Linked DNA regions of Arabidopsis thaliana. The protein of the gene in region 4 interacts with the protein of the main gene of each other region in a biochemical or structural test. Each region holds a gene or a part of one and is shown on either strand. Other genes may lie near its edges. The genes, in order: INH3, PRSL1, PIN1 and TOPP4.

The links.
Region 1: the proteins of TOPP4 (region 4) and INH3 form a complex in vitro, tested with the Arabidopsis thaliana proteins (one study listed by BioGRID).
Region 2: the proteins of TOPP4 (region 4) and PRSL1 form a complex in vitro, tested with the Arabidopsis thaliana proteins (one study listed by BioGRID).
Region 3: of the proteins of TOPP4 (region 4) and PIN1, one has a biochemical effect on the other in vitro, tested with the Arabidopsis thaliana proteins (one study listed by BioGRID).

The regions. Positions count from the first base shown.
Region 1 is NC_003071.7:13,346,792-13,353,756, reverse strand, and holds INH3 (inhibitor-3), read right to left. Parts: upstream 3,389-6,965; 5' UTR 3,272-3,388; intron 2,872-3,271; 5' UTR 2,849-2,871; coding exon 2,525-2,848; 3' UTR 2,267-2,524; downstream 1-2,266. Other genes in the region: LBD14 (LOB domain-containing protein 14), read right to left, coding at 104-391, 494-772; ARPC1B (actin-related protein C1B), read left to right, coding at 3,970-4,039, 4,406-4,494, 4,690-4,766, 4,870-4,964, 5,081-5,150, 5,409-5,478, 5,714-5,787, 5,875-5,917 and 4 more. UniProt on the Arabidopsis thaliana protein: Inhibitor of protein-phosphatase 1 (PP1). Binds to and inhibits PP1 activity. Required for early embryogenesis progression.
Region 2 is NC_003075.7:18,579,593-18,585,036, reverse strand, and holds PRSL1 (GRAM domain family protein), read right to left. Parts: upstream 1,794-5,444; coding exon 1,580-1,793; intron 1,491-1,579; coding exon 1,389-1,490; intron 1,128-1,388; coding exon 958-1,127; intron 705-957; coding exon 513-704; downstream 1-512. Other genes in the region: AGP3 (arabinogalactan protein 3), read left to right, coding at 3,533-3,952; AT4G40080 (ENTH/ANTH/VHS superfamily protein), read right to left, coding at 4,495-5,149, 5,224-5,444.
Region 3 is NC_003070.9:27,655,672-27,665,175, reverse strand, and holds PIN1 (Auxin efflux carrier family protein), read right to left. Parts: upstream 5,504-9,504; 5' UTR 5,405-5,503; coding exon 4,159-5,404; intron 4,007-4,158; coding exon 3,772-4,006; intron 3,584-3,771; coding exon 3,498-3,583; intron 2,848-3,497; coding exon 2,690-2,847; intron 2,594-2,689; coding exon 2,517-2,593; intron 2,367-2,516; coding exon 2,300-2,366; 3' UTR 1,923-2,299; downstream 1-1,922. UniProt on the Arabidopsis thaliana protein: Acts as a component of the auxin efflux carrier; this activity is enhanced when activated by D6PK-mediated phosphorylation.
Region 4 is NC_003071.7:16,623,522-16,631,665, reverse strand, and holds TOPP4 (type one serine/threonine protein phosphatase 4), read right to left. Parts: upstream 4,451-8,144; 5' UTR 4,237-4,450; coding exon 4,020-4,236; intron 3,704-4,019; coding exon 3,144-3,703; intron 3,066-3,143; coding exon 2,877-3,065; 3' UTR 2,864-2,876; intron 2,669-2,863; 3' UTR 2,254-2,668; downstream 1-2,253. Other genes in the region: AT2G39850 (Subtilisin-like serine endopeptidase family protein), read right to left, coding at 136-367, 556-647, 751-842, 957-1,040; DAR2 (DA1-related protein 2), read left to right, coding at 8,008-8,098. UniProt on the Arabidopsis thaliana protein: Serine/threonine-protein phosphatase that possesses phosphatase activity toward para-nitrophenyl phosphate (pNPP) in vitro. Acts as a positive regulator in the gibberellin (GA) signaling pathway to regulate plant growth and development.

The DNA.
Region 1 (6,965 bases), 3.3 Mb from region 4:
AGAAAATGGTTGCATGATTCGATCTCTACTATGAAAAATGTCGAAAAGTCGATACAATAGAAAGATTGTAAGGTTCCATCTCTGACAAAGTAGTCACTTGTACTCAAACAGACCAAGGAAAATTGACCTCCTGGTAGTAATTAAGTGATTCATTTGAGCTACAAGGAGACTCATTATGATCCATGGACCGCTCATTGTCGCGTGTAGTACCACTCATTGGGTCGAAGTCTGAGTCCAAGATTCCTTGGTGAAACCAATTGTGAAGATCTTGTGGCATTTGTTGAGCAAGAACCTTTTCTTGTTGCTTCATATTACAACCAGGATCATCTTGAGGGAACCTTCTCGAAGCTTCTTCTCTAAGTAGAACCACTTGTGCTTGTAAACTAACAACCTTAAGAACAAAGTCAGTGAAGTTACTTGTAAGTACACTAGAGATGATGAAGCAAAAGCAAAAAAAAATTATGTATACATTTCCGAAGAAAAAGTATAATACCTGTTGTTGGAGGGAGAAGATTTGGGAGACGCAGCCGTAAATAGGATCATGGAGACGAGAGTGAGCCTCGTAAGAGATGGTTCGTACGGCGTCACATCGGTCATGATCAGGGAGATGAGAAATGAGCTTAGAGAAGTTGCTAGCTCCAAACACTTTGTGAATGGCTGCAAAATTAGAAGATCCTTCTTCGTAGCAAAAGTATGGTGCAAATACACAACCCTCTACACATTTCCTACGCAAGAACTTGCATCCTCCACATGGTGAGCCTAAACCTCCCATTCTCAAAACGTAATTATAATCTATTGATATTAACCAACTATTACTATCTTGTAGGAATATTAATACTTCATTACTTATACTCTTCTAGTGACGATTATATAGTGCACGAGTGTTTATGGTAAAGGACTAAGGTGGGATTTATGATAACTCAACTTGTTATTTTACATATTTGTCTCTCTAATGGCTTACAATTACAAGATTGCAGCTTTTATATTTTCCCTCAAGTTTATATTGTAAAACATCTCTCTAATATTCAATAACTCGTTGTAATATATTATTGAGATTAAACTCTTAAGGTGGAGAATATTCTTAAGAAAATATTGAGAGAACCATATTAATATTAAGATCCGATCAAATGAGAGATTTGGTTGACGTATAGGACAAAACAATGAGTAAACATGAACCAAACCCAAGTTGCTTTTTGTTGTGGTTTTAGCTTTTTTTTAATTCATAACTAATTTACTCTCTTATTTTATTTAGAAAAATAAATTAGAGTTTACTTTTAGTGTTTGTTTAGTTGAAAATTTACATGTACTTGTGAAATTATGTTAAGATTGTTGTCATTATTGCTTAATTTGGAAAACAATAGTTTAAGATTTAACAATGCTCAACATATACACCACATAAGTGATTGAGATGTGTGTAGAATAAGAACAAAGGCATTTGATATTAGTAGTATATGAGACAAGTTATTTCTATATCTCGATTTAAATATTTTAAAATGCTCTCAGTTTCGATCAAACTTTACAGACTAGAAAAATAGAGAGACCCATGATTATCCAGCCCACATATTAATCATGAATCATGATTAACATCAAAAATATTCCAAAATAATTGATCAAGTACAAAAGTTAAATTATTCGATAATAATGAACAACTGATAGTGGATTTATGACTTAATGTTGGTTTAGTGGAGATTAAAAATAGTAAGAAAAATTTGAGTTTGAAGCTTTATTTTTGTTTTCTTATCTATGTTAAGGATTTCGGGTGTCTTTAGATATCCTAACTTGTGCCTAGAGTTTGCGGAAAAGACGGAGTTTTGGTCAAAGAAGGACCGGGGAACAAAGAAATAACAGAACCAGTACGGCCATGGGATCGGTCTCACCAATGACTGATCTAGGACTCCTCAAACAACCCTCATAAGCCACATTGGCCGTGCCCATCAGTCAAATGCAGATCCAATATCCCTGGAGCCAACTAAATAACCCGCATCGATCAACCATCATGGTCATAGAGCCACCGATCTAGCCAACCAAACCATCCGACCAGTAGCTACATCGTTCTGCCATATCGGTCATATTTTTTTATCGATCCTAATCACAACCCATCTGATCCAGAAGCTGCATTGATCCCAACATCGGCCAATGAAACCCAAACATTATACTTACCCTTTGCAAATCCTATTCTACTGGGAAAATAATATAGTGCTCATCTTTTAATTGATGAAACCCGAACATTGCATTTTGAGAAATAGTATGCAGTCGCAAAAGCAAAAGCAAAAGCATATTCAAATGTAGAAAGAAAATATAACATCCTTGTAATTCTTTAACTAATTAGCAATCTTCAATGATTCACATCATTTTCAACAGAGTATGAAGGAGTTAACATTGCAATGAATCTGCAAATTACTTGTACATATACATAACGCCCAACCAGGGTTAGATAGGAGAAGAGACCAAAACAACAAATGTGTGTTCTTCCATGATCTATTAAAAAGCTTCAATATATAGTAACGTGAAAAAACCTGATTGATTAGTCAACGGCTTTAGAATCATTAGAAGAAGATGCCTCACCAGATTCGGAGTGTTCATGGTTATGATCACAGTGATGGTTGTTATCATCTTCTTCTTCACTGTCATCCTCATCAAAAGGCTTCTGTTTATGAAAGATGCAACACTTCTTCGAACTCTTCTTCTGCATAAACTCATTGTCTACAGTCCCATCTTTCCATGAAACTTTCTTCTTCTTCCGGTTCAACCGAAGCACTAATCTTTCAGTAGGTTGTGATTGAGAAACAGGGTTTTCTAATATGACAGAAGTTGTTGCTGAAGAGGAAGGCCTTGTTGCTGTGCTCATAGCTGAAGATTAGCTTTCAAAATCTGCATAAAAGACTAATTTCATAAGGTACCAAAATACAAGAACAGAGAATAAAAGTTCTTAATAGTAACAACTAACAACATGCTTAAGAATGACAAGAGCTAAAGATAAAAACTAAGACCTTAAACAAAATCGTAAAACAGAACAAAGCCTTTAGGGTTCATTCTTTAGGTAAACAAACCAAACAGATGCTATTTCTCTAACCCTAAATTCATTGCCTACGAGATCTGAACCCTAATCATTCCTAATTCCAGGGGATAAACACAAATCGGTGATATGAAATTGAGAATCAAATGTTGCAGTAAACAATAGAGAGACCTAGTTTCGATCGTAGAAACAATAGCGAAACCTAAACCTAGGGGAAAAAAAGATTCAAAGAATCAAATCGACGAAGAAGCAAACCTGTGAATCCCCAAGGAGGAAGGGACGCTTGTTGAATCGAGAAACTTTTTTTTTTTTTCGTTTTGTTTTTTTTTTCTTTCGCCGATGGAGAAATTTAGTCGCTCCAACCAAAAAAAAAAAAAAAAAAAAAATTCGGTCTAATTTTATATTTATTTTCTAAGAAATGTTAATATATATATTAGAAAAAAGACTAATACAGTGTAATTAATTTTGAGAAAACTATAATGTTAACTTATTTGGGATTCGAAAACTGAATATATAGAATGACTTTATAAGTTACTCATACTCATAGTGAGGTTTAGTTCAGATTTTTACATGGATGGATTTGATTAAATCCAATTATGTATATTTAAGTATTTAACTAATGCAGAATTTAGATCTTATTTTTTTTTTTGCTTATTATTATGCTGGGCCGCCCCTAAGACAGGGCCAAGGAAAATAGAAAATGATCTGGTCATAAAAAATTGGGCTATAAGAGTAAAATAAAACACACAAACAAAAACATCCGTCTCTTTCACTTACACTTTCACTTCACGTTTGCGACTGTGTCGTCGTCAAGCTCCGGATCTCATCGGCGTTTCATCATAATTATCTGTCCATCTATTCACCGTACGACTCCGTTTTAGAAATCTGTAGATGTCAATTTGAGAGAAAAGACTGTCTTCATTACAACACATTTGGGACAACAAGGATCACTCATGGCAGTGGTGGATGTTCATCGTTTCGCTGAGTCAATCACTTGCCATGCTTGGAGTCCTGATCTCTCCAGTATGTTTCTAACACCTCTCTGATTTTGTGATTCTCTTCTTTCTCTCTTCCGTCGTTTTTCTGTTTTTAGAATTATAAATGAGGAGGATCTTTAGTTAGTTTTTCTGAATTGACTTGTGTTATTCTTATACATCTTGGTAATCAAGTTTCTTCTAAATCCCTATAATTGAGAATTTTCGAGTCAATGTTTTATATGTCTGTTTGTCGGTGTCTCTTGTTAGGAGCACTTGGTATCTAGTATTGTACATTAGTAGATGCGCTTTTCTAAACAGATGAACCAAATCTATTGTTACAAATGATTTAACGTCTGTACTAAAGCCTGTAACCATTTATGTGCTTTGACATTTGTTTCGTTTTTCTTGGTAGTGGTTGCTCTCTGTCCTAACAACACTGAAGTTCATATCTATAAATCATTGTCTCAAGACCACTGGGAGAGGTTACATGTCCTCCAAAAGGTGAAACCTTTCTCTCTCCCTCTCTTTCTGTAACTTTTGAACTTGCACTCCTTTTGCTTTCTCTTCTTGGGAATTCCTTACTTTCGTATATTTATGTATTCTCATTTCACTGATCACTTGTCGCTGATAAGTGTTGTATAGACAGCTTGAATCTCCCTTACAACAACTTCATGATTATTGTTCGTCTTGTTGCAGCATGACCAAATTGTTTCTGGAATAGATTGGAGCTCAAAGTCCAACAAAATCGTCACTGTTTCTCATGACAGGAACTCGTAAGTTGCTACCTTTGATATACTTTGAGAAACTCCAAACCTGTTAATCTTAGTCCTTCACTTTTTTTCGTTCGTTGAACTGAGTTTAGAATGCTTCTTGAAGGTACGTCTGGAGCCTGGAAGGAGCTGAATGGGTACCAACTCTCGTTATTCTTAGACTAAATCGTGCTGCACTTTGTGTCCAATGGAGCCCCAAAGGTAAATGTTTAATTTTTCTGGTTCTTAAGCTTAATTTCCGTAATATATCATGTAATTTTCCTATAATTTCTACAGCTTCTAATCTATGTTCTCATCTTTTTGCTCAATACCCATAGAGAACAAGTTTGCTGTTGGAAGTGGTGCTAAAACTGTTTGTATTTGCTATTATGAGCAAGAGAATAACTGGTATTTTCTTCTTCTGCTCCTAATTCTCATTATTAGTCCTTGATTTTTTCTTTGGCAAGTTTCCTGACTTCTTTGCTACGAATGGTGTTGTTGGTCTATGTAATGATATTATCTTGTCTTATGTACTGGCATGATATTAGCACCAATCATATTTTTTATTATCTTGGCATGCATAACTGTGTATTGTTTAGAGATTTTAGAAAGATACTTTCATGTAAACTTTTAGTATCTGACATTGCTTGGCTTTACTGTTTGCAGGTGGGTCAGTAAGCTAATCCGGAAAAGGCACGAATCTTCAGTCACATCTGTTGCTTGGCATCCTAATAATGTACGTGCAATCAACAGAACCTCTTGTAGTTCATGTAGCCAAAATATTAAGCAGGCTCTCTGTAAAAGCTTTCTCTACCAAAAATATTCTATAAGTTGGCCACCAGATTGAGTATAGAGTACATGATCCCTAAAAATAGAATATCAATCTCCACAAACTAGTTAATCTTCTAAATCATTTTTTCTCGTATGCTTTTTTATGTTGCTGTGCTCTCTGATTGTCTGTTATGCATTAGGTTCTTCTGGCAACGACATCAACAGATGGAAAATGTCGGGTATTTTCAACATTCATCAAAGGAGTTGACACAAAGTATGCTCATTACTTGAACGTCTACTTTTAAGACATTTTTTCAAACATGAGGCCATTTCTTATTTTTCTTTCAATGGGCTGATACAGGGATTCAAAAGCAGGCTCACCAGCGGAAACGAAATTTGGGGAGGTTCGACTAGTTTGGCTGGCTTTCCTTCTTTTAGTAAATATTATAATTCTTGTGCCATATATATGTTCCGTCTACTCTCTCATCTAATGTTAGGGAGTTTTTTTTTCTACTGTGGCTTTGTTGAAACAGCAAATTCTTCAGCTTGATCTCTCATATTCTTGGGCATTTGGTGTTAAATGGTCTCCAAGTGGAAACACCTTAGCATATGTAGGTCAGAAAATCCTTCAGACTTGGGATGTTTTTCCATTGCGCTCTACTGAAATAATACAATGGAACTTCAACTTGGTTGCAGTTTTTACTACCATCTGTCATACTTTGCGTGTTTATGTAATCATGTATAGGTCATAGCTCCATGATTTACTTTGTTGATGATGTTGGCCCTTCTCCTTTAGCCCAAAGCGTTGCATTCCGAGATTTGCCTCTTCGTGATGTGGGTCAGCATCCACCTTTATTTTACTTTTGAGAACCTGGTTTCTCCGGTGTGTTATGTCCTGAATTGATATATTATGGGGAAATTGCTATTTCAGGTCCTGTTTATTTCTGAGAAAATGGTGATAGGGGTTGGATATGACAGCAACCCGATGGTATTTGCTGCAGATGATACTGGAATATGGTGTGTAACTCTCAGAAATATCTGCTTAAAATTCTCTTTCTTAGGGGTTTGCATACTATCAAATTTTCAGTTCTTTTATTCCTCTTAGATCACAGGCCGGATTGTTGGTTCTGAAACGAACCACTACCAATAATTGCTTCGTTTACAAGTTTTTGTATTTGGTCTGTAGGAGCTTCATAAGATACATTGGAGAGAAGAAAGCGGCATCTTCAGGTTCCAGTTACAGTTCGCAGGTACATACCAAATCTTCTTTCTTATATTGCAATATGTCTGGTTTTAGCCTTTTAGTGAAAAAAATATGACTGAACTTTAACTTATCCCTGAGTTGTTCCTCTAAAGATCGTAATCTTTGGGGGTTAGTGTAGTTCCTCTCTTTCTTTTTTTCTTGGATTTACGATACGACTTTCCACTTGCATTATTTTGTTGTGTTGTGTC
Region 2 (5,444 bases), on a different chromosome or scaffold from region 4:
CCCTTAACCCTTAACCCTAAACCCTTAACCCTTAACCCCTAACCCTTAACCCCTAACCCTTAACCCTTAACCCTTAACCCTTAACCTTTAAACCTAAACCCCTAAATCTCTAAATCCCTATAACCTTATCCCTCACCCTAAACCCTATTTTTCACTCTATCTCTCCTACTGTCTCTCTCTTTCTATGATATCTATCTATGTTTGCACTTTTTCTTCTTGCAAATTCTATTTAAAAGGGAATGAAAGAAGAGTTATGTTTGCTAATCACCTAGTGCGATGGAGATTGTAAGAGTAACAACCAAATCTTGTTTTACAACCATACACTATCATCTCAAAACAGCATTAAATCCTAAAATCCAATTATATTTTTTATTAGCAATAATATGATTAGGAGAAAATTTAGAAAAGAAATGCTATCGGTGTATTAAGACATGGTAACTAATTAAGAATAAGAATCAAATAATTTAGTTTGCAACCAAAATAATGCTATTCTGATCAAGAATCCACCAGTATTATATCACACAGACTGAGGCACCGGCTTGCAATGTATCTTGTAGAGATGTAACAGCGCCTTCGTAGTTTAAGAAACCCATGAACCAAAACTCATGGTCGTCGACCGAGATTACCTGGATGTACTTTTCTGCAGGATTAACTGTGCTTATCGAAGGGTTAACCGATTTAAGCTGATGTAATGGGATTACTACCTGTTTAAGATGATGAAGATATGTATTACTACCTAGTGTTATCATAGTTTGCACAAGAAATTACTCACAGAATCTAACGTTCTTCACTTTATTCCTATTATCTATGAGGTCGCTTTCTACAATAGTTATTTATAGCAAAAATTTCGATTGTCTCAAAATAAAAAGGATTACCTTATAATAGCTCCATTCAGTTTGACCAGAATTTTTGTACGAGAGAGGTATCGCTACAGTAAGCAAGTTTAGCAGTGGATACGTAAAGAACTCCCATGACTGGACCAGCTGATGTTGATAAGTAGCACGCAAATGAATTTTGCAGTTGCTCCTCTGGAACAGTTTCAAAGGTTTGCCTGAAAATTTTCTCATATCCTCCTTCTGCCAGAACCTTTGTACTTTGTGCAATTCTTCCCATTGCAGCACGCAAAGCTCGGAGCAGTTTTCACTAATTATGATGAATATCAAGATTTAATAGTTAGTTACCATAAATAATCCCATCAAATCACAGAATAAACAGAAAAAACAAAAGTTAATATTCGCTTTGAAACTCCATTGCTCAAACCTATAATATCTAACTCATCAAGAAGTGATATACCATGTAGCATGACAATCACCCAAATATCAACAATCTCAGCTCATAGTATATTTTCTCAGGGTTAACGATGCAACAATACAAGATCGGAAACTCACGGTGTTGCCACGTGTTCCCGGCAAGGCTCTCTGCCTTCATTGCAGCTTCTCCAACCCTCCTTCCCCATCTCCCAAGCACACCTTTCACAGATTCCATCGTTTCTGATCCAATTTCAAAGAGATTTTAACGGTTACTTACACATCTCATAGCATAAACCAAAAAGATACTGACACAGTTTTAAACACAGTACCTTTCAACGAGGCATCCGAAGTTTCAGTAGGAGCACGAGCGACGTACGGATTAGATCTCGCGGCAGAAGATGAGGATAAGGCCTTCTCATCCGGTGCGGGAGATTCAGAAACCAATTCGGGATTCCAATGGAGATTTTCTCGATCCGGACGATGTTCGATTCGGTGCTCGATCGCCTTTTGAATCGATTTCGACGTGTAGCGTAGTAGATTCATCAGATAAAGCAATCACAGAACTCGCATCCTCGGCTCCTTTTGCCGCCACTTGATCCACATGTTTCATATCACTACTATGCGGTGGCTTCAAATTCTGATCCTCCGATTTCAGTGTCGTCTTTCGTCAGTTGTTCCATTCTCCGATTGCGCAAGTATCGTATCGTTTTTTTATTGTCGTTGTATTTGGGATGTGGGGTAGAGTTTTTATTTTATTTTATTTTTTTCCGAGAAACGCTGAAGAGAAAAAATAGTAAATGGAGAAGACGAGAGAAAGCAAAAATTAAAAAAAAGATCTCTGATTTTATTTTATTATGTAGATTTTGGGCTATAAAACTTTTTTAAAACAAAAAAGTTATGTTATTATTGGATTCTGAATGTGAAAGAAAAAAAATGGTGGTTGTGAATGTTTTTAGGATGACTTATAGAATTAAAATCATTGGCTAATTTTCTAAAAACTTAGAAAGTAAAGTTATTTTTTAATATCTTATTAAAAAAACTTGAAAAGCAGATCATATTTAAAACATATCAACAATGGCCATTTGAATCATACATATAATTTAAAACGTTACATTTTTTGTTTGTGGGAATCAAAACTCATAATTACAGCAATGGTATTTAATTAGGATGACTTCTCTTTTTTGTTGCTATTAATGTTAATATCACTAAAATGAAGAGTTAAGGTATTACGTAACAAAAAATGCAATCTGCAAAAAAAAAAAAAAAAAAATTATAATATAATATGGCTAAGAGTGTGATTTAACGGATCTAGAGAAGCATTAGATTTCTCCAACTCTTCCTATGACGCCGAAACGGAGATGGTATTGCGTACCTTATGATCGATAGACTTGAAGATGAGCAGAGGAGGGATGGACTGCAGATTATGGAGTACATTGTTCCTCTGTTCAAATATGGTAGACCGGAGCTTGGGCAGCCACCTAGGATGACTTCTCTAGAATCGGTTTTGGTTTTGATTTTAGAATTTCGGTTCAAATTTTGGTTTGGTTTGGTTTTGGTTAAGGATGAAGGTTCTGTTGTAGTACCCAATATTAGTATATGAAAACTTATTCATAATAATATAAATGTCATAATCATTCACAGATTAAGATAAGTTGCTTGTCTGCCTCGTCGTTAACCTTAGTGGGAACCAAGTATGGCGCGTGGTCTTGACTCTTCTCTTTTTCATTTTTTTTTGTTGTTGTTTGGGTTCAAATTGTGATTTATATATTTGAGGTAAGTAAGTTGTTTGGTTTGGTATATAATGTCATTTTCTTAATTTGATGTAAACTCTTTTATTTGCTGCTACAAGATACGGTAAACCAAAAAATGAGGTTATCTACTAGTACTAGTGGTCAACTATTGCAAATTACCAATTTTAACACGACATTATTAACCTTTGTCTAGTATCATTAAAATTATACTTTTGTAATTTTATCAATTAGAAGTTTAGAACTAGGTTTAGTCTCATTGTAGACGATTTCTTCAAGAAAACTTCAATGCAAGATACTTGGTAAAGACTATTAATTCTGATATTCCAAATCAAATAAATAAATAAGCCATGTATATCTCTATGTGCCTGCATGTTTAAAGAGTCTGAAAGATCAAAATAAAATATACATCTTCTTAGCTATATATTAAGAACACATTTTCCTTCATTTATCCACCACCAACAAAAGACAAGAGTTTTCTCAGGTTTCTATCTCTCTCGTCAAACACAACGAAAGACATTGAAACTGAGAGAAATGGCTCTTAAGACATTGCAAGCTCTGATCTTTCTTGGTCTATTTGCCGCCTCATGTCTAGCTCAAGCTCCGGCTCCGGCACCTATCACGTTTCTCCCTCCGGTAGAGTCTCCTTCTCCAGTTGTTACACCAACTGCAGAACCACCGGCTCCCGTTGCTTCACCCCCTATTCCAGCCAACGAACCCACTCCGGTTCCAACAACTCCACCAACCGTCTCACCCCCGACCACGTCGCCCACAACTTCCCCTGTCGCTTCTCCTCCTAAACCATATGCTTTGGCTCCAGGCCCATCAGGTCCAACACCAGCTCCGGCCCCCGCTCCTAGAGCAGACGGGCCGGTAGCTGACTCAGCATTGACTAACAAAGCTTTCCTTGTTAGCACAGTCATTGCCGGAGCCTTGTACGCCGTTTTGGCTTAAAGAGTGCCTTGCGTATTACTCTATCATTCTCTCTCTCTCACTCTCCTTTGTTTTTTCTTATCATGATTTGTTTGAGAGATCTCTCTGTTTTTCCCTAATACATTTCGTCCTCTTTGTTGTTGTTTTCTTTTTGGGATCTTTTTGATATTTGTATAACTTTGATTGGACCATGGGATTAAACCTGAGGGAAGAAGTTCTGATTGTAATTTTCTTCATTATTTTTTTAATTAATAAAGTCTTGTTTAATATAGTTGCATTTACTAGATTTTTGCATCTTGAAGGTTTTAAATGTTAAATTTTACATAACAATGTTAAATTTTACATAACAGTTAAATCTGTATAATAAACCGAACTTTGTAACGATAAACAGACTAAATCAAAATCCAGTTAGTTTTCTCATCGATAAATGACTTAATACATCAACAACACATATAATGGAATAATCATCTACATGTTGATTATTGTCTTTTAAAATTCACAAGACATCTGACCAAAAAAAAAATTATTTAAAAAAAAATCAAAAGAATATAAAAGTCGTCCACTCAACACAACACTCGACCAGAAACCGGAAAATTAAACCGATCAACATTCGAAAATCTACCCGAAGAAAACCGAACAGGATTACTATAACCGATAATTAACCGATCAGTAAACCGAGCCGATTCGTATCCTTTATCCCTCTTCCCAAACCCAACAATCGATTTCTCAATCTGCCCATAATTATCCTCTAAATTACCAATAATACCCTTGACCTCAAGAACCAAACCCCAGAACCCATCAATCCAACCTCTCTTCCAATTCCCATGGCAGATTTCAGACAACCTCTCTTTACAACTCTCGAGCCGCTTCAAAGCACAGACAAGCTCGATCGTATCTCCAAAGCTCAAAGTGTTGGATCGTTCTTTAAACTCGTTGAATCTCGTGTAAAGCTCGTTGATCGAAGACACGTAGTCTTCTCCTACCAACTGAGTGATTTTGTCTGCGAGGGATTTCCCACCGGAGAAGGGTAGATCCGGAATTTTACATGCTTCTTCTAGTAGACCAACGAGAGCATCGATCTCACGAAGCAGATCAGAGTTGGTAAGAGAAGAAACCATTTCTTCGTATTCCTCTTTGTGAATTGTACTCGATGTTGAAGATATGAAAAATCCCATGATTCTTGAAGTTGATAATAGATGCTCAAGATATAAAGCGTACCTACAATAATAATCAAAAAACATATAAAAATCCAAACTTAGTCGAAACTTTTTTTTTTTTTTTTGTGAACTTACCATCGGACCCAAGAAGAAAGCTCCCACATCAAAGGAGATTTCTCATCTCTAAAAGCAGAAAGTTTCAGATAATTCCGACCACCGGAAGCTGGAAATACAGAGAGCTGATCTTGGAGGATGAAACGACCGTGTTTGACGATGTGATGGATAATGATCAAAGACTTGAGAGCTACGCAAGCATCTCCGGTGGTGTGAAGACGTTCCATTATGGATTCGACAGC
Region 3 (9,504 bases), on a different chromosome or scaffold from region 4:
CGTTACTTTTTTTTCATTATGTATACGTCTTTTCAGTTTAATATTCAAATTTGTTGTTGACCTATTTGGTCACGACAGAGGAAAATATTGGCCGTATTTTTAGAAATGAAAAAAATAATCGATGGAGCAGTGTAATGACAAATCATGTGTCGACTTCCAATATCTTATTAAATAATTAGGTGAAGATAAAGCCGTAAATAATGATACTATAAATTAGTTTTTCCAATATATTGTATAGTATTGTATATCGCAAAAAAAAGCAAAGCAATTATGTTTTTATTGGTCGTCATATCGTATCTAATTACCCGTACAAAAGAAAAGGAAAATCTTCTTTTTTTCTCACAATCTCTTCGGGCGAAAAAAAATGTAACAAAAGCAAAATACAATCACATTTTGAAAAAAAAAAAACAGAATCAATAGTAAAATAAATAAATAATACCCAAAAATAAAATGAAAAAGACAAATGACAAAAAGCTCTCAATACTCTGTCTGGGCGACGGCCGACCCAACACCGTCTAGTGGCAGGCAGAGACACTAACATCTGCAACTATGACCTTACGAAATTACGTTTATACCCTTATACTTTTTTACGTCATCCTTTGCATTTAATTTTTTTTTAAAATTTCACTAAAAATCTTAAGTAAATACGAAATCTTTTCCGTGACGAGATTAACTTCTTTATGAGTCCGACAAAAAAAAAACTTCTTTATGAGAAAACCTCGATCCTTTCAAATATCTCATGTAATATCAAAATCTCATGGGTCCAAAATTAAAGGCTTTAGACTAAATGATAGTTATATCATATGCATGGTTTATCAAATTTCTGAAATATTAGATTTTCACGTATATTTTTCAATAAATGGTGAAGACCATTGATTGAGAGCAGAGAATGAACACAGAATTAGAAGCTTCTGAGAAATGTTGGTGTTGTAGTAGGAAAGCGAAGTGACACGGCGTCTTCTTCTTCTCTCTTGTCTCATTCTTCTTTTTATTCCTCACCCATTACTTTTGTTTTTTTTTATTTTATGAATTTGAACAATGTGAATTGCAGGCTTAAATATTTACAAATCGAGCTATAATAATAGTTTTATTAATTGGAAACATTGAAAATTTGAAGAATGCAACGGCGGCTACAGCCGTCTCATGCAGAATAAAATGATGGTTTTTTTTTACGTGAGGGTGAGGCGTGCCATAAATTTAGGGTCGCTTTCTTTAACTATTTTCCTCATTCTAATTATTACGCCTTCATATATTTATTACTATCAATTTTATTTTTATTTTTGTTTTGTATACAGTCATTTCACTTTCTAATAAATTCATTTGGTAACTAAAATAAATAAAAATTCATCATTCCACATATTTAAATCAAGCCAATATTTTTAGCAATTAAATGATTTTCATGTCGAGAGTACAATTCAAACCAAGTTAAGTATTATACATTTGATTTATCATTATATAAGATCGTCGTATAAATATGAAGGTTTGTTTTTATTCATAAAAAGCATCAGCATCTAAGTGGTATGTAATGATTCTGAGAAGAATCGGTAAAAGGATACACAATTGACAACACTAAACGAATCTTTCAAGATTCCACAAACGCAGTGAAGAGGAATCTTGACCAAGTCGAATAACGTAACGCATGCACCAAGTCCCCTATCTTCTACATATTTAATCGAGTGTTCTGTTGAATCCAATACTCGTGTCGTCTGTGTTGTTATAGTCACATGCTATTTCATACCTTCCCACCTAAGCTATTGTAAAGTTTCTAATATTCATGACTACGTTTTAAATTTTCCCAAATCCCCCGTAGAAATCCCTTTCTCAAACATTTTGTGGAAGATGTACTTTACTGTTTTAGTTTCTGATTTTTCACATTTAGGCAAACGAAACATAGAAATGTTAAGTGAACTTAACTTTTGAAATGGCTAAAACACTTCTTATTTTGGTGAGATTTAGACCTATACACACCAATTCACTTTTAGCATGCACACAAAATTTGATATTTTCCTTAACGTTTTTAATTCACTAAAAGTAGCCAAAGCTTTTACAAATTCCTAAAACCTACCAAAAGAGGAAACACGAATGTTCATTAAAATTAAGAAAAAGGTAAAACTTGCTGAGCTCCTACTTAAGTCTCCTTCTTCTTCTCTTCTTCAAGAGCTTCAATTATCCTCAAAGATTCTCTAAAGCTGCTTCTGATTTAATTTGTGGGTTTTCAACAAAAAGGGCATTGTTCTTTTCACAATTCATCATCCCACAAAAGAATAAAACAAAGTCCCTGTGTTTTGGTAATATCTCTTCATAGACCCAAGAGAATGTAGTAGAGAAGAGTTATGGGCAACGCGATCAACATCCCAAATATCACCCTGCAACAAAAATCAGAACTCACGTTAACAAAAATATATTTATATATACACCTAATCATAATTAATGTAGGCAAAACCAACCTAACTTTTTTTCTACAACAAAATTTATTGTTATAACAACAAAACTATTTAATAGATTAATAAACTTACGCAGTGCTAAGAATGTCAGGATGCACATTATACTCTTTGGCAAACACAAACGGTACTATTCCTTGCGGCAAAGCTGCCTGTTTGTTGTCAATAAAAATAATGGTTAGAAATCGTATAAACGACAGTAGACACAACAGAAGTGTTTCATATTTGATCATGCAAATAAAAACTACCTGGATAATGGCAACATGGAGGAGGACGCCACGGAGGCCAACGGCATAAGAAGCAACGAGCATGACGGCAGGTCCAACGACAAATCTCATAGCCGCCGCAAAAGCTGCTCTTCTGTTTCCACAAGCTATTATTCTTGGGTTTAACGCCATGAACAACCCTTTAACACATCCAAAAAAAGCCACAAATTTAAACAAATAATTTATTATTGTTTTGCTTTTTGGTTAATTTAAGTTTATACACTGTTTTTAGCTGCAAAAGAGTGACATAAAAATAATCATCACAGCCACTGATCCACCACCACAACATTAACATCATCATTATCGTTATCCTAAACTATTCATTCCATAAAGTCATGATTAAGCACAAATTTTATAATCAGTTGATGGAAGTCTACTGAAACATAAACAAGGTAAAAAAGAAAGTTTTTTCATCGATAAGGGGGTCAATATTAGGTATAAAAAAATTGTTTGTTGCTTTAAGAGAAAATAAAAAATGGTTCCTCCTATTCAAGGGAGAGACATGTTATGATGATAAGCAGAGAACTGTGGAGCATGCTTTCTGCTGTGAAGCCAGTTTTGTTTGCTTTTTTGATACAAACATGTTTCAAAAAAACTTCAAAGAAAAAGAAAACAGAGAGAATCATGCTTCCACATGATTTGTTTTTTTTCTTAAAATCATTTAAAATTTAAAAAACACCATAAAGAATGAAGGTCAGAAATAAAGAGAACAATTGACTGTTTTATGGTATTTAATTATGTAATAAATGAAAAGAGGTAAAAATAAAAGAAAAGAGAAAAAGGAACTGACCAAGACTGAACATAGCCATGCCTAGACCTGCATCTGAGAGTATGGAGATAGACTTTGCTATAAGAGCTGGCATTTCAATGTTCCACCTGCACAGACCACATCAATTTAATTCCAATAAAGAGATCTTTCTCAAATCTTTTGTTACTTCAATCTATCAGAAAAAACTTTCAAACATATACGCATTCAAGGCTGACCCTTTATGCATCAAGAAAGTGGTTAAAATAGTAGACCAAAACCAAAGTAAAGTGAAAATAAGACAAGTTTGAAACAGTACTTGAAGGAAATGAGGGACCAGGTGATGCCGAATAAACTGGAGTAAGAGTTGGGATTACGAATAAGTTTCCTCCAAACCATAATGAGAATGAGTCTTGTCATCACACTTGTTGGTGGCATCACCTTAGCCTGCGTCGTTTTGTTGCTTATGTTGTTCCCACCGTCCGTTGCCAATACTTTGCTATCATCGTCTTTGTTACCGAAACTAAACTCTTCCCTCTCCACGTACTGGTTGTCTAAAGTAAGGCAACAACACATGTAAACAATTAAAGAACCCCTTAACCAAATCATAAATATCGAAGGACATAGAGAAATTTTGGGGGTGTTTTTGTAAAGAAAATAAATTAGGGTGCGAAAACAAAACAACAAAGTTATAGAGGGACTATACCGTTACTATTCCCCTGAGGTACAGAGATCTTAACGTCCTTTTGATGATCGTTCGTAGCGGTGGAGTAATCGGCGTGGTGGTTTCCTCCTCCACCGCCGAACACATCTGAGACCGGCGAAGCACTTGAGCTCCACACAAACATGTGAAGATCTCTTCCGTTTCCGTCTTGTCTTTTCCCACCAACCACCGGAGCGTTTCCTTTCGCCGCCGTGCCTCCACCACCGCCAGTGTTGGGCGAAAACATCCCTGGGTTCGGCGCCGGATAATGCGCTCCTCCACCGCCACCACTTCCTCCAGATTGATAATGAAACCTCCCAGCTCCAGCAGCAGTTCCAGCAGCCGTCGGTTTAGCAGGACCACCGTCTTCTTCGTAGTTGGAAGGTCTCGGAGTAGGACCTTTAGAACCAAACACAGCTTCTCCAGGACCAAAGTTAGAGTTCCGACCACCACCAGAAGCCATCATCGAGTAAAAATCAGTATGATTAAAACTAGAGCCACGTGGCGTTGGGTTTCTTGAACTCTGAAGCGAATATATCTCAGCGTTGGTTAGATTCGAAGGTCTAGGTGTCGCAGATAAGCCTTGAGACCTTCTCGAGTAAATATCAGACCTTGAAGCATTAGAACGACGAACAGTAACATGAAGCTTCCCATCTTCTTTAATCTCAGCTTCAGTTTCCAAAGGTTGTCTTCCATCTAAAGACATAATGTCGGAATCAACATGAATCGAAACAATAGATCCTGCTGTGTCTGGAAACTGCTCGGAGATCAAAAGCTTAGCTCCACGGTACTCAAAGAGAAAGAGCATGAGTGTGTACCAAATGATACACTGAAGAACAACGATTTGAACCATGAGGTCGCCGGAGAAATTACCATACATGCCTTTGAGAAGAGGTATCCCCATGACTAGAGTGTTGGGGAGTGTCGAGAGAGAGAAGAGAGTTATGGTCCAATCTAAAGAACCGTTGCGGCTGAGTTTGCACCAGAGGAAGAGGAGAGAGAGGACAATGACTTTCTGGAGAGAATCTGCGGCGAGGAAACGGAGGTTCATGGCGTAAGGGTTGTTAGCGGCGATGAAGTGGAAAGAGAGGAGAGGAACGGCGAAGAGAGCGACGAAACGGTTTATGCCGGAGCATTGGTCTGGTGTGAAGATTTTCCACCATTTGACAGAGCCGTAAGCGAGGATCATAGCTACGTATAACGGAACCATAGCCGTCATAACGTGGTAGAAGTCCGCCGCCGTAATCATCTTTTGTTCGCCGGAGAAGAGAGAGGGAAGAGAGAAGAGCTTTTGTCTTTAGTTTGAGAGAGAAGTGGTGAAGAGGGAAAAAAGAGTAAAGTGAGTGTTGAGAAGAGACCACATTTTTATATTCTTTTTATTTTATTTTTTTGTCCGTTGAGAAAATACCATATTTTTTAATTAAACATATATATATTTTGTTAATGAAGCTAAAACTGTTTGCTGATTTTATTATTTTCGTTTTCGATTATTTGGTTAGTTTCTAGATATTATATTCAAAAGTAGTTTACGTGTAGGAGTAAAAAAACATTAAATGTAAAATTGGAATAGCTCAACATATTTATTTGTTTTGTTAAACATTCCAACATAATAGTGTGTGTGATGTAATTTTGATTGAAATACGACAAAAAGAAGTTTTTTTGAATGTAATAAAAACGAAATAAAAATGGTGGTTGATGGGTGCGTGGTGGAGCTTTGGGGATAGTGAAAGAGGCGGCCTTGTGCGCTTTGCGGAGTCCAAAGCAGAGCCTCTGTTTTTGCCTCTCTCTTTTTTTTTTGGCCTTTTCAAATTATGAATTAATCTATTCGGTTGATCAATTTATCCCCTATACTAATTATTAAATTTATATTTTTACCATGTTTAAAAATTGTTAAATTTATTTTTGCTATAAATTATTGTGATTAGTATGATGGGATTTTTGGTATTGACTTTCAATTGATAAATCACAACAGAAGATAAATACACATTGAAGTGATGATATAAGGCTCGATTTGATGTTTATATGAACTTAGAAAATTTTGGTTTTAAAGATAGAAGTCTTCTCCGAAGAGAGGTTGAAAGTCTTTGGAAAAATGGTTGCAATTGAACAAACTAGTTCCTAACCAAAGACTTTGTGGGTGGAGATAAAAGAAAAGATGTGATATCACTAACATAAGGTCGAAATCACTTTTTCATGTGAGATGGGTGTGTGTGAGTTATCATTGCATAGGTTATCATTTACAGTTGTAGTTGCGCATACGAATTATTTATGAACTATTCAATCCTTTGATCGCTCATCTTGGAACTTATTTTCTTTTACTGTTTACTGTATAACATTACTAACAAAGTTTTATAAAATATATTTCGTTGAGAAAATTAGTAACAAAGTTTTATTGAACATAAATACGTAGAAGTTTTTTGAAAGAAAAATGTTGAAAAGAGGGTGGTTCTGGTTTGCTTACACAAATCAGTCTGATGTGTTCTTTAATACTACTAATAAAGTCCGTACAAAAAGCAATGGGTTGATGATATAATGAGGAGTGTTGATATTTGAGGAAACACAATATTCCATCAACAGTCTGCTCTTCATTTTTCTCATCATCCCATACAAACACAGTTCTTCTTTTTTTTTTCTTTCCAGCTTTTTATTTTTCCAATGTTTTCAACTTTTTTTTAAGCATAATAATAATATATAGTACTAATATAATTCGACTTTCCTTGCCATTTCTTGCGCTTAAAGAGACTATACACACAAAAAAAGTAGGTTATGCAATCCGAATAAAGTAAATATGTTGAGAAGTTACGAAAAAATAAAAGAGTTGATGACTTAACATCATTTTTCTATTAAAAATTATAAATCAAGTAGTTTCTATTTTTTTTTACTGACAAATAATTTTAAAATTGGTTCTTTGAAAGAATTGAATTTTTAACACGGCAAAAAAAAAAAAAAAATTGCAGGATTTTTTCACATTCCATATAGTTAATGATATTTTGGATCTTTCAAATTATTTGTCACTAATCCATTAATCTTTCAATCTTTTGTTGTGCAAATCCTTGTTACAACTGCGACTTTGTGTAATATTGAACTCAAATTAACGTTTTTTCTAATACTCTATGTTTGCACGGCTTGACTTATGGTTATGGGTGATGGATGACCTTTTAGCAAATACTTGAAACGAGAAAATTAAAATTGATCTTTTAGCAAACACTTGAAACGGGAAAAATGGAAAAGAGAGTAAGATAGTTTGGTTTAATAAAGCAAATTTTGACTAATTAACACTTTATGATCTATATTGACCTGCTTTAATATACATAAAGTGAGTCTTATGGCTGATACTAAAAGTCGACAAACTAATCTCAATAAATACGTTAATCAATGGGAATGATAAGTGGATACATGTTTTGCATCAAATTATGCTTTCTTTTGGGTTTTCTTCAAAATTTATATAGACCGAAATATCACTAGTTAACAAAATCGCTCGAACTCATAATTCTTTTTTAATAAGAAGTATAAACTAACTATGTGGTTTTGAAATGAAACTTTGGCGACAACGCCAATGGAATAATTTACAAATTTGACTAATCTTTTTATTGGCTAAAAGATAAATAAAAAGATTACTATAATGAATTTTTTTAAAGTTTATCAACAGAAGATTAATGGTTGCCGAGTTTAAGAAAATATTTGATATTGATTCTCGTTAGTCGTTACTGGTTAATGGTCGAAATGTAGATGATCATTGGACTGTCTACGGTGGAAGCCTCCCATTGTATTTTTTATATCTTTGCTTGGCTTCTCTATTCGGTTTAACATTCATGAGAAAGAAAATTATTGTACTTGATTATTTTTCAAAACCTAAATAAGACTTGAATAACAATATATAGCGAGATGTCCAGCTAGCCGTTGTATTTGAAAAGTAGGTTATTCACTTTATACATCTTCCTCACGCCTTAAAAATTACAAAAGATGTTGTTTTTATGCATAGCCATTTGCCACAATTGTATAGTTTAATTATTCAAACTATTATGAGTCTCATAGTCATTGGGTGACTAATTGTTGTAGAATCAATTAGAAATAGACGGTTGAATAAAAAACTCAAATGGATAAATTATGAATCAGAAAAGAAAACTTCATAGTTTGGTTATCAATCAGAACTCATAAGTACCGTATACAACTGCATGAAATTAAAAGAAATCAACTTAATGATTAATTTAATTAAAAGTTAGTACAATGTAAGCATAGCTTTTCACGCAACCCGAAAATAATGCATGTTGAAGGTCCATGCGTTTGTGCTTAAACACGCTTCGCTAAAGCATGCCTTGTAATTGTAATCAAAACAAATAATCCCACTAATGAACGGATGATGACTAATGAAGATTCATGTTTGGTACGAAATGTTTTAAGCCCTTTTGAACAAATACAACAGATGATGGACACACACACACAAATCGACGACATAAAACTTGATTTGGAGGATATCCGGAAAAATAGGCTATTCACATATCATCCGACTCAGCCTTAATGATTATGTTGTTTTTATGAATGGGTTTACTCTATTTAATTTGTCTTTAACTTATTTTTAATACGATGTTGAAGTGAAATAATCAACAAATAGTTATAAACGTGAAGAAAACAATAAAGGAGTAGAAGAAAGAACAGAGCGAGAAACAGGAGGGGCATGCGTAAAAGAAGTTAATGATGGATGAGGGTAAAATGGGAAAATTAAAGTAGAGGCGTGACACTTGTCAGCTTCATTAAGCTCCAACTCAAATGTTTTTCATTATCTACTTTCGTCATGATTATAAAACATAGGGGATGTTTAAGAAACGAATCAATAATAAAGGGTCTATTTTACAATTTCGAAAGTTTCCCCCGACCAAAAGAAAACATCAGACCAAATACCGATCTACGGCTACGAATCAATGTGAAAAAAGCATATATAGATGCTTTCGCTAAACATATATTTTTTAAAAATTTAATCTTTTTTTTTGCACGGTTTTGGGTTCTCTAAAAGGCTGAACCTATAAAAGAATATATAGAAATAGAACAGAGAATATTTAAAAGGATCTGAAAAATTACCAACTTTTTCTTACTTCGTTTCAAAATACAAATTTGTGTTCCTCAAAAGCTGCTATTGCTGCAATAAAGTTATCTTTTTCATCTCTTTCTTTTTCATTTTCTTCACTTCGTTAAAAGGAAAAACCAAAAGAGAAAAATAAAATAAAAGAATATACGAAAGTAAAATATCTTTGTCCTCACGATTCCTTCAAACTAAACATCAATCACTAAAATTCGTGCCGCCTTGGGCAGACACAAACCCAATGGTTTCACACACACATTCATACTTCAATA
Region 4 (8,144 bases):
TGCAATTGTAGTTTATGATAGCAAGATTAATTCTCATACTTAATTCCAACTTTCAAGATTCCTAACCATGTCATCTTGAAAAGAGAAAATCATACATATTTTTGTTTTATCATAAGTAAAGGTTTATTATAGTACTTGTTGCAAGTTATGTTTTCGCATTTGTTTTCCCAACCAGGAGGGGGAGGGCTATCGCTACCGAAGAGCTCAGAGTAGGGCCAAATGCCGGAATCGATGACAGCCACAACCAAATCACTCTCATTCTCGGGATTTCGCTCAGCTTTTAATGTTAGATTCATGAAGTCCCATGATCTTGTCGTTTGAAGCTTTAGGTTTCTGCTACGTGAAACTTCCAATACTTCTCTTCTCCCTATATCAACATTAACATAACCCGTGTGTTATTACCACGTCCCTACTATGCATTGATATCAATCTATATAGCAGTAGGCTATAATTCTACATTTTTTGGCTTTTACGTCATTGCGTGTTATAGTATTGTACTGATCAATTGTATAAAAAAAAGGAAATGCAAACGTGACGAAACAGTTGTGGTCTTACTCATCAGCTTTTGCCGTTCTCTTGGTGTGAGACTTGCCGAGAAACCGGTGAAGCTCTCCTTATAGCTGTAGATAAATGCATCCGCTAAGGTGCTGCATGTGTTAACATAGAGGATTGGCTTCTTGGGAAATTTGAACCAATATATCTCATCAAAACCTATATGACTTAAAGAATAAGGCATAATTAAAATCAAACCTATCGTCGTCAAGAACTTCGCCTAGTAGTTCCTGGTGACCGGAACTTGACCCATATCGATGTCCACCAACTTTCATCTGCACAAGGTATGTCTGTACCATAGAAAGCAAGAAGTTATATGTTAAAATTCAAACATTCGTCGTTATATGTATCTCCAAAAAAACGTTACGCTATTAGTTAAAGAAGAAAGGTCCATTTTTTCTCACCTTTCGCGAGTCGTTTGCTTCCGCAAAAGAAGCAAAGAAGAAGAGTAGCAGTTGAAGAAGAAAGGTATGAAAAGCTATAGCCATCCCTCACTCACTCACCAGAACAATCTTTCTAATTCTTTTTTTTTTTTTTTTATAAGGTCTAATTCTAATTCTTTTTCTTTAAGGCTTTTTTTTACTGTCAACTTTCTTTTAAAATTTATTTGACTCTAATATTCTTAAGTTTTGTTGCATTGCATGTTAATGCTTTATGTCTCTATTTATAGAGAAATTTCATGAAGGATATTGGGAGCGAAAAAGGACTAATGAAGAAGAAAATTGGAGGAGAAGATTGAAATCGAAACATTTCATAGTGCAGACGCTCATCAATCAATTTAAAGAATCTTATTCTTCGATTATGAAGCTGCATGCTTTTTTTGGTGATTCTTGAGAAAGTCCATGATTTTTTTTTTTTCTATGTTACGATAAAACATGAGTATACGGTATTGATTCGAGTGAAAATCAAGAAAACTTGAGGGTCTACGTTGACGCACATATATATGTATGCTTGGTTTGATGAAACTTATAACGTCCACATGGTCCACACTCGCGCACAATGTGGTCAGATAATAACACTAAACCTGTACATTCATGTTTCAATTGTTTGTTTGTGTTTATTACGTTCGTGTATATTTTCTTACTTTTCCAAATGAACCACAAGTTTTAAGATTTTTTTTTTGCTAAACTTACACGCTGAAAACAATGGTCGTATACGACGAACGCTTGTGTATTCAATTTACAAAAATATGAAAATTAGAAATAATTATATTTCAAAATTGATTTTTTTGTTTGTTTGAGTTTTGAGAATAGTATGAAATGGTCATAATCTATGTAGGAACTAGGAAGTCTAGAAGAATATGACATGGTCACAATACTATGTAGGAAATGTTTGAGGATACTATGATCAAAGGATACGTTTTGTCCAACATCTTCTGGTGAGGAAATGGACTAAGAATATGAACATATTCAAAGATAGGATAATGACATGATATGTGTCTAAAGAATTGGATACATGTGGTTTTGGTTCCCGTTTGCAACCCAAAAAAAAAGTTACTTTTACGAACTTATCGCTTCCGTGTTTACTTCTCATCCACAACAAAGAACAACATAAAATTTCAGTCCCTCCAATTATTATATTCTATTCTATTTCCCGAGTCCACCAAACGGATCATATATCACTTCACTCACGATCATACCAAAACCAGTGGACTTTACTTTCAATAGCTTCTCAAATTCTTCTTTTACTTAAACATGATGAACATGTGTGAAACTTGTTGTCCAATTTAGATGCTCATTCGATATTTATGATGGTTAATTGAAGATGTTCATATGCGTTACTTATGTCTCATTCACTTTCACATGCCGCTTAAGAGACGAAACTCATCATACTAAACCTTTTTTATAACATCATTTTCATTTGGTGTCCTAAAATCCAAGAAACGACCATATGCATGTACACACCAACTATGTGATCCCAACAGGCAGATGAAAATCATGTAAAACCCATAAAAGAAGATAGAAAAAAAATGCTGAAAGTGAATTTGGGGGAAGAAAGAGATTAGAAGACTAAGAAGGTCTTGCTCCTTTCCAAGAGTTCTCACTACCATAAGTACACACTTCACAGCCAAATCTTCAATGGTTTCAATCAATTTCTCAAGAAAGACCAAATCCATCTGTGAAAGAAGGAAAAGCCGAAATCAAGACCCATTTAAGTAAAAAGTTTAGCCTGGAAGAATCCAAAAGAAATCATGTTCAACAGAAATGTGAACTTGACTTTGTAATGAATAACATGAACAAATCAGTGCAAGAGAATCCTTTCATTCACTAGTTTCGTTTTGGTTTCCGCCAAGGACAGACTATTGACTAACCTCAATGAAAGTATCAAATCTTTGTGGACATCATGAACTTGGTCTTCTTCTCAGCGGGCTTCAAAATCTGAAACGAGCACATAAGGTTCTCGTCCACGCTCATCATCGCACCAGCATTATCAAATTCACCACAGTAGTTAGGAGCTGAAAACACCGTCACAAGTTGTCTATCAGCAAAGAACTCATACCCATCCTCCACGACCTGCCATAAAAAATCCAACTCCCTTGTTAACATCACAAAAGCAGTAGTATCAAAGAGACATGATTGAAAAATATCTACCTGATGGGCACGACACACAAGATCTAAATCATGTTTCGTAAGAAACTCGGAAACTTTATCTGGACCAAAGGTGTATGAAACACCTCTATCATTCATTCCCCATCCTTTAACATCTTTCCCAGGATCAGACCAGAGCAAATCACAGAGAAGCCCGGTATCCGGAATCATAGTTGGTCTCGGCAAGTTTCTAATCTCATCCAAATGGTCAAGATCCGGCGAAAGTCCACCGTGCATACACAATATTTTGTCATCTATAAGCGCCGCAACAGGAAGGCAGTTAAAACAATCAGTAAAAACCTTCCATACTCTCACATTGAACCTCCTTTTACACTCATCATAAAATCCATATATCCTATTGATAGAAGCACATTCGTGGTTTCCCCTTAGTAGAAAAAAGTTGCCAGGGTATTTGATCTTGTAAGCTAGTAAGAGACATATTGTTTCAAGACTCTGTTTGCCTCTGTCCACATAGTCCCCAAGAAATAGATAATTGGCACTAGGAGGGAAGCCACCATACTCAAATAGCCTCAACAAATCACTATATTGCCCATGTATGTCACCTGGTTTAAGACATGTACACCACAAACCATAAGGAAATCACAGAACGGGATAGGATTTTTCATGAACACACACAGTATCATAAGCAACAAGATAAGCCTCTCCACTCAATCATTATCCACAAAAAGCCAAAACATTTCTCACTCAGATTCTAGTCACTTCACAACATCAAACAAAAAGGTCTCACAATGGTCTAACAACTTTATCCCCAAAACCTAACCAAGTTCACACTTTTGGAAAATCTAAGAAACACAATAAGAACCCTAAAATCAATTCCGACGAAATTATTAAAATCAACGAATCAAATTGGGAAGATACCACAGATTTTGATGGGAGCCTCAAGCTCAAGTAAATTGGGTTGCTGAAGGAAAATATCTCTAGCTGTAGTACAGAGCTGTTTGATCTCAGCTTCAGAGAGCTGGACTTGCTTTCCTGGTCTAGCTAACCGGACCTCCGTGAGTCGCCTGATTATATCATCGAGAACCGCCGAGTCAATCGCCGTTTGCTGCCCCTGCGTCGTCGTCGTCGTCGCCATCAACAGAATCCCAAAAAAAAACCTAATTTTTTCGACCCCAAAAAAGAAAAGAGCTAATGCAAAATAATCAGTGAGAACAAAATAAAGAAGAAAATTACGCGCAAAGACTTTCGAGATTTTTTTTAGTTCGAATTGATTTTTTCAATGAGTATTAATTAAAGTATCAGAAACGGAGATGGGGACGAAATTAACACCTTTGAAAATTGAAATAAAAGAAACTGAGAAAATAACTGACAAGTTAAAGAAGAAAAGATGAGGGATACAGGACGACGTCGTTTAGTGAAATTCCAAAACGGGCTTTAGCTTAATCGGTAATGGGCCGTTTATGAGATCTAACAAGTTGTTTAGTAGGTTCGTGTTACTTTTGTGTACTAATCAACCTAACAAGTAATTCAAAGAATAAATGTGGTAACTTCAATCAATCATTTGGGATTATTAACAATGTTTCGTACCTATTTTTTTCTTCTTATAGTTGTGTGAATAATGATGTGTTTAGTATATTTATAAGAACACGAAGGATGCAAAATGTATCATTTACCAGAATTTTTTCATCCTTTTTGTAAGGAAAAACTATAGTTATGTAATTCTACATAGAAAATGAATTGGTACGGTTAGAGATGTTGTTGTGGGTAAAAAAGCCCAGCCCGACCTGAATCCAAAATAAATCCGTCCACCAAAAACCCAACTTTAAAAAACCCAGATGGATTTTTGATTTAGTGGGTAAAGCCCGAAAAAACCTGATTGTTCCGAGACTACCTGTGGGTACCCAACTTGATTTTTATTATTTTCTTATAATTTATGTTTAATTGTTAATATACTATTATATGTATGTTGTATCTATATTTTGCTTATAAATATATTTTAAATTATATTTATTTTTTGTATTACATATATATTTGATGGGAAAAATGTTAAATTGCGTTTTTGGCGGGAAAATGTTAAATTGCGTTTTTTGACGGAAAAATGTTAAATTGCGTTTTTGGCGGGAAAAATGTCAAATCCTTTTCTTGGCCGGAAATGTTGAATGTCGTTTTTGGCGGAAAAATGTTAAATTGCGTTTTTGGCGGAAAAATGTTGAATATCATTTTTGGCGGGAAAATGTTAAATTGTGTTTTTGACCGAAAAATGTGAAATCTTTTTGGCGGAAAATGTTGAATGTCGTTTTTGGCGGGAAAATGTTAAATTGCGTTTTTGGCGGGAAAATGTGAAATCATTTTTGGCGGAAAAATGTTGAATCGCGTTTTTGGCGGGAAAATGATGAATTGCGTTTTGGCGGAAAATGTTGAATGTCGTTTTTGGCACGAAAATGTTGAATTGCGTTTTGGCGGGAAAATGTTGATTGTCGTTTTTGGCGGGAAAATTTTGAATGTCTTTTTTGGCGGGAAAATGTTGATTTTTTTTTTGGTGGTAAACTGTTAAATCGCGGTTTAGGAGAAAAAAATGTGAAATCTTTTTTGACAAAAAAATGTTGATTCACTTGAAAAATGATTTTAAAAAAAATCGTGGGTACCCATAACCCAATGAGGTAAACCCATATGTGTTTTATTTATTTGGATACCCAGCCCATTTTAAACCTGTGTTTTATTTCCAGAAAAAATAGATCTATGAGCTTAAAATTTTATGTGTGTTTTGGGTACCAGTGGATTTTAACCCATCATTAACATCTCTAGGTACGGTACTCTAGTGGTGGCCTACATTGGTTGATAAAGTCATAAAGTCAATATCGTTTAAACATGCAAATGCAAATTTTATGGACCGGATTAAGTCGGAATGATCCGTATGTTGAGGCTTGAAAGAGCCCATCAATGCAATGGAAAATAGTCGTCTCTTTTCTTTTCCTTTCTTTTCTTTACGATCATAAAGTTCTCTTTTTTTTTGGGTGAATATTGTAAAGGTTTTGAGTCATTCTTTCCAACTCAATTCCACGTTTCTCATCTCTCAAGGCTTTTTACTACAAAAATCTTTACAGATACAAAGTTAGAGATTTATAACAACTTGGATAAGATGTCTCATGCATGAGATAAGAGAAAGTAAATTCTTGTATTTTAGGTGATTAAAGGAATAAAGACATATGCAGCATTTTTGCATCGGCTACTCAAACTCAGCTAAATTCTTCGCTATATATATATACTTTATTTTGTTACAATAATTGTATCAGACTAATACAACTTGATCCATGTGTAGGAAAGTTTCAATAAGATTGATCGTTTTTATGTTACCAAAAATAAAAAAAGATTGATCGTTTAAAAAGTCATTCTTAACAAGAAATAAATACTTGTTGAACTAGAAGTCTAGAACAAATACATTTGTTCAGACATTTTAAATTGTAAGATTAATTACATTCACAAAAAAAATTGTAAGATTAACTGAGGAATATAATGATGTAATAGGAAACTAACGCAAATGCTTAAAATGTTTTAACATTTTCATGATGAAAAATAAGTAAACATCTTTGGGGGTATAGATACTTAAGATAAAATATATAACTTGACAAGAAAAAAGAAAAGATAAGCATTTTCTTTAAATGAGAATTCCCAAAAACAAGCAGCCTTAATAGAAAATAAGTTATGGATCGTCCATACAGAGATCGACTTTAGCAAGTTGATAAAGAAATGGTCAGATCTCAAGGTGGAAACTGTTGCTGAAAAAAGCTAGATTTGATCTGATGCTGTCTTTAACCCAAAATATTAATTTGATCCCAAAAAAAAGGTAATTTAATCGAAAGAAAGAACTTAAACATGACAATAGGTTAGGCTTTTGTTCTGTAAAAATTGGGTGTCTGATTCCACTTTGAAGCCTCTCTTTCACCTTTGCTGCGTCATCACCGGTCACGACCTTCCTATAGATTGATGCCTCAAATTATAAATAACAATATTATTATTGGTCCGTCGTTTGTAATGTCATAAAAGCTTAATTCCCATTATAAAGTTGTCTGTGGTAACGTTGCAAAAGCGCATCTTTATCGTGTATTAGAGTATGACCTTTGTTAATACGCCCATATTATGTATAGTGCAAACATTGTTATACTACTTCTCATGGATTCATGAGTCGGATATTTGAAACCCAAAAACAATTACAAGAATCATACAAATTTTGAAACTAAAGTTTTAGTTAAAAAATAAAATGACATATCTTCAATGTAGCTATAGATTCATTAAAAACTCGGTGAGGGTATGAGACCATAAAAACAAAAACAAGGAAAATTTAACAAAACCAAAGTTTAAAGGCAAATAGTTAGAGCCGATGGAACGAGCGTCTCCATCAAAACCCAAAAAGAAGAATTTTTTTTTGCTTTCGTTTACAAATCTAACTTTTTGGTTTTTCTCCCCAACAAAAAAAAAAAAAATAAAGTGTAAAAAGAGAGAAGCTTAAAAGGTTTCAACTATCTTCCTCCTCCCCACACCGTTGCTTGAAGGATTCTTCCGCCTCAGCAAAAACCAAAAAGACAAAAATATTCTCTTAAAAAAACATCTCTTTCTCTCTGTTCCTTTCCTTTCAGAAGCTAAGCATCTCTTCCTTTTCTTTTTCTCTTTTAATTTTTTTTTGCCCGATCTCTTCTGCAAAGATTCTCTCTTTCTTTCTTCTCTTTTCATTTATGTTTTCATTCTCTAATAACAAATTGTAATGACTTATAACTTCTTCTTCTTCTCCCCTCTTCCTTCTTCTTCCTCCTCCTCTTCTCTTCTTTGCTTCTCTCTCCGGCCGTCGTTTTCGCTTTACTCACACGTTTTCAAGTATATTTAATCACGTGGGGGCCATTTTTCCATCCTCATGGATTCTTCTTCCTCTTCCTCTTCTTCTTCTCCTTCTTCTTCCTACGGTGTTGCTCGTGTCAGCCATATCTCCAATCCTTGCATCTTCGGTGTGTTTTCTTTTCTTACCAAATTCTATTCTTGAGACTAAATATT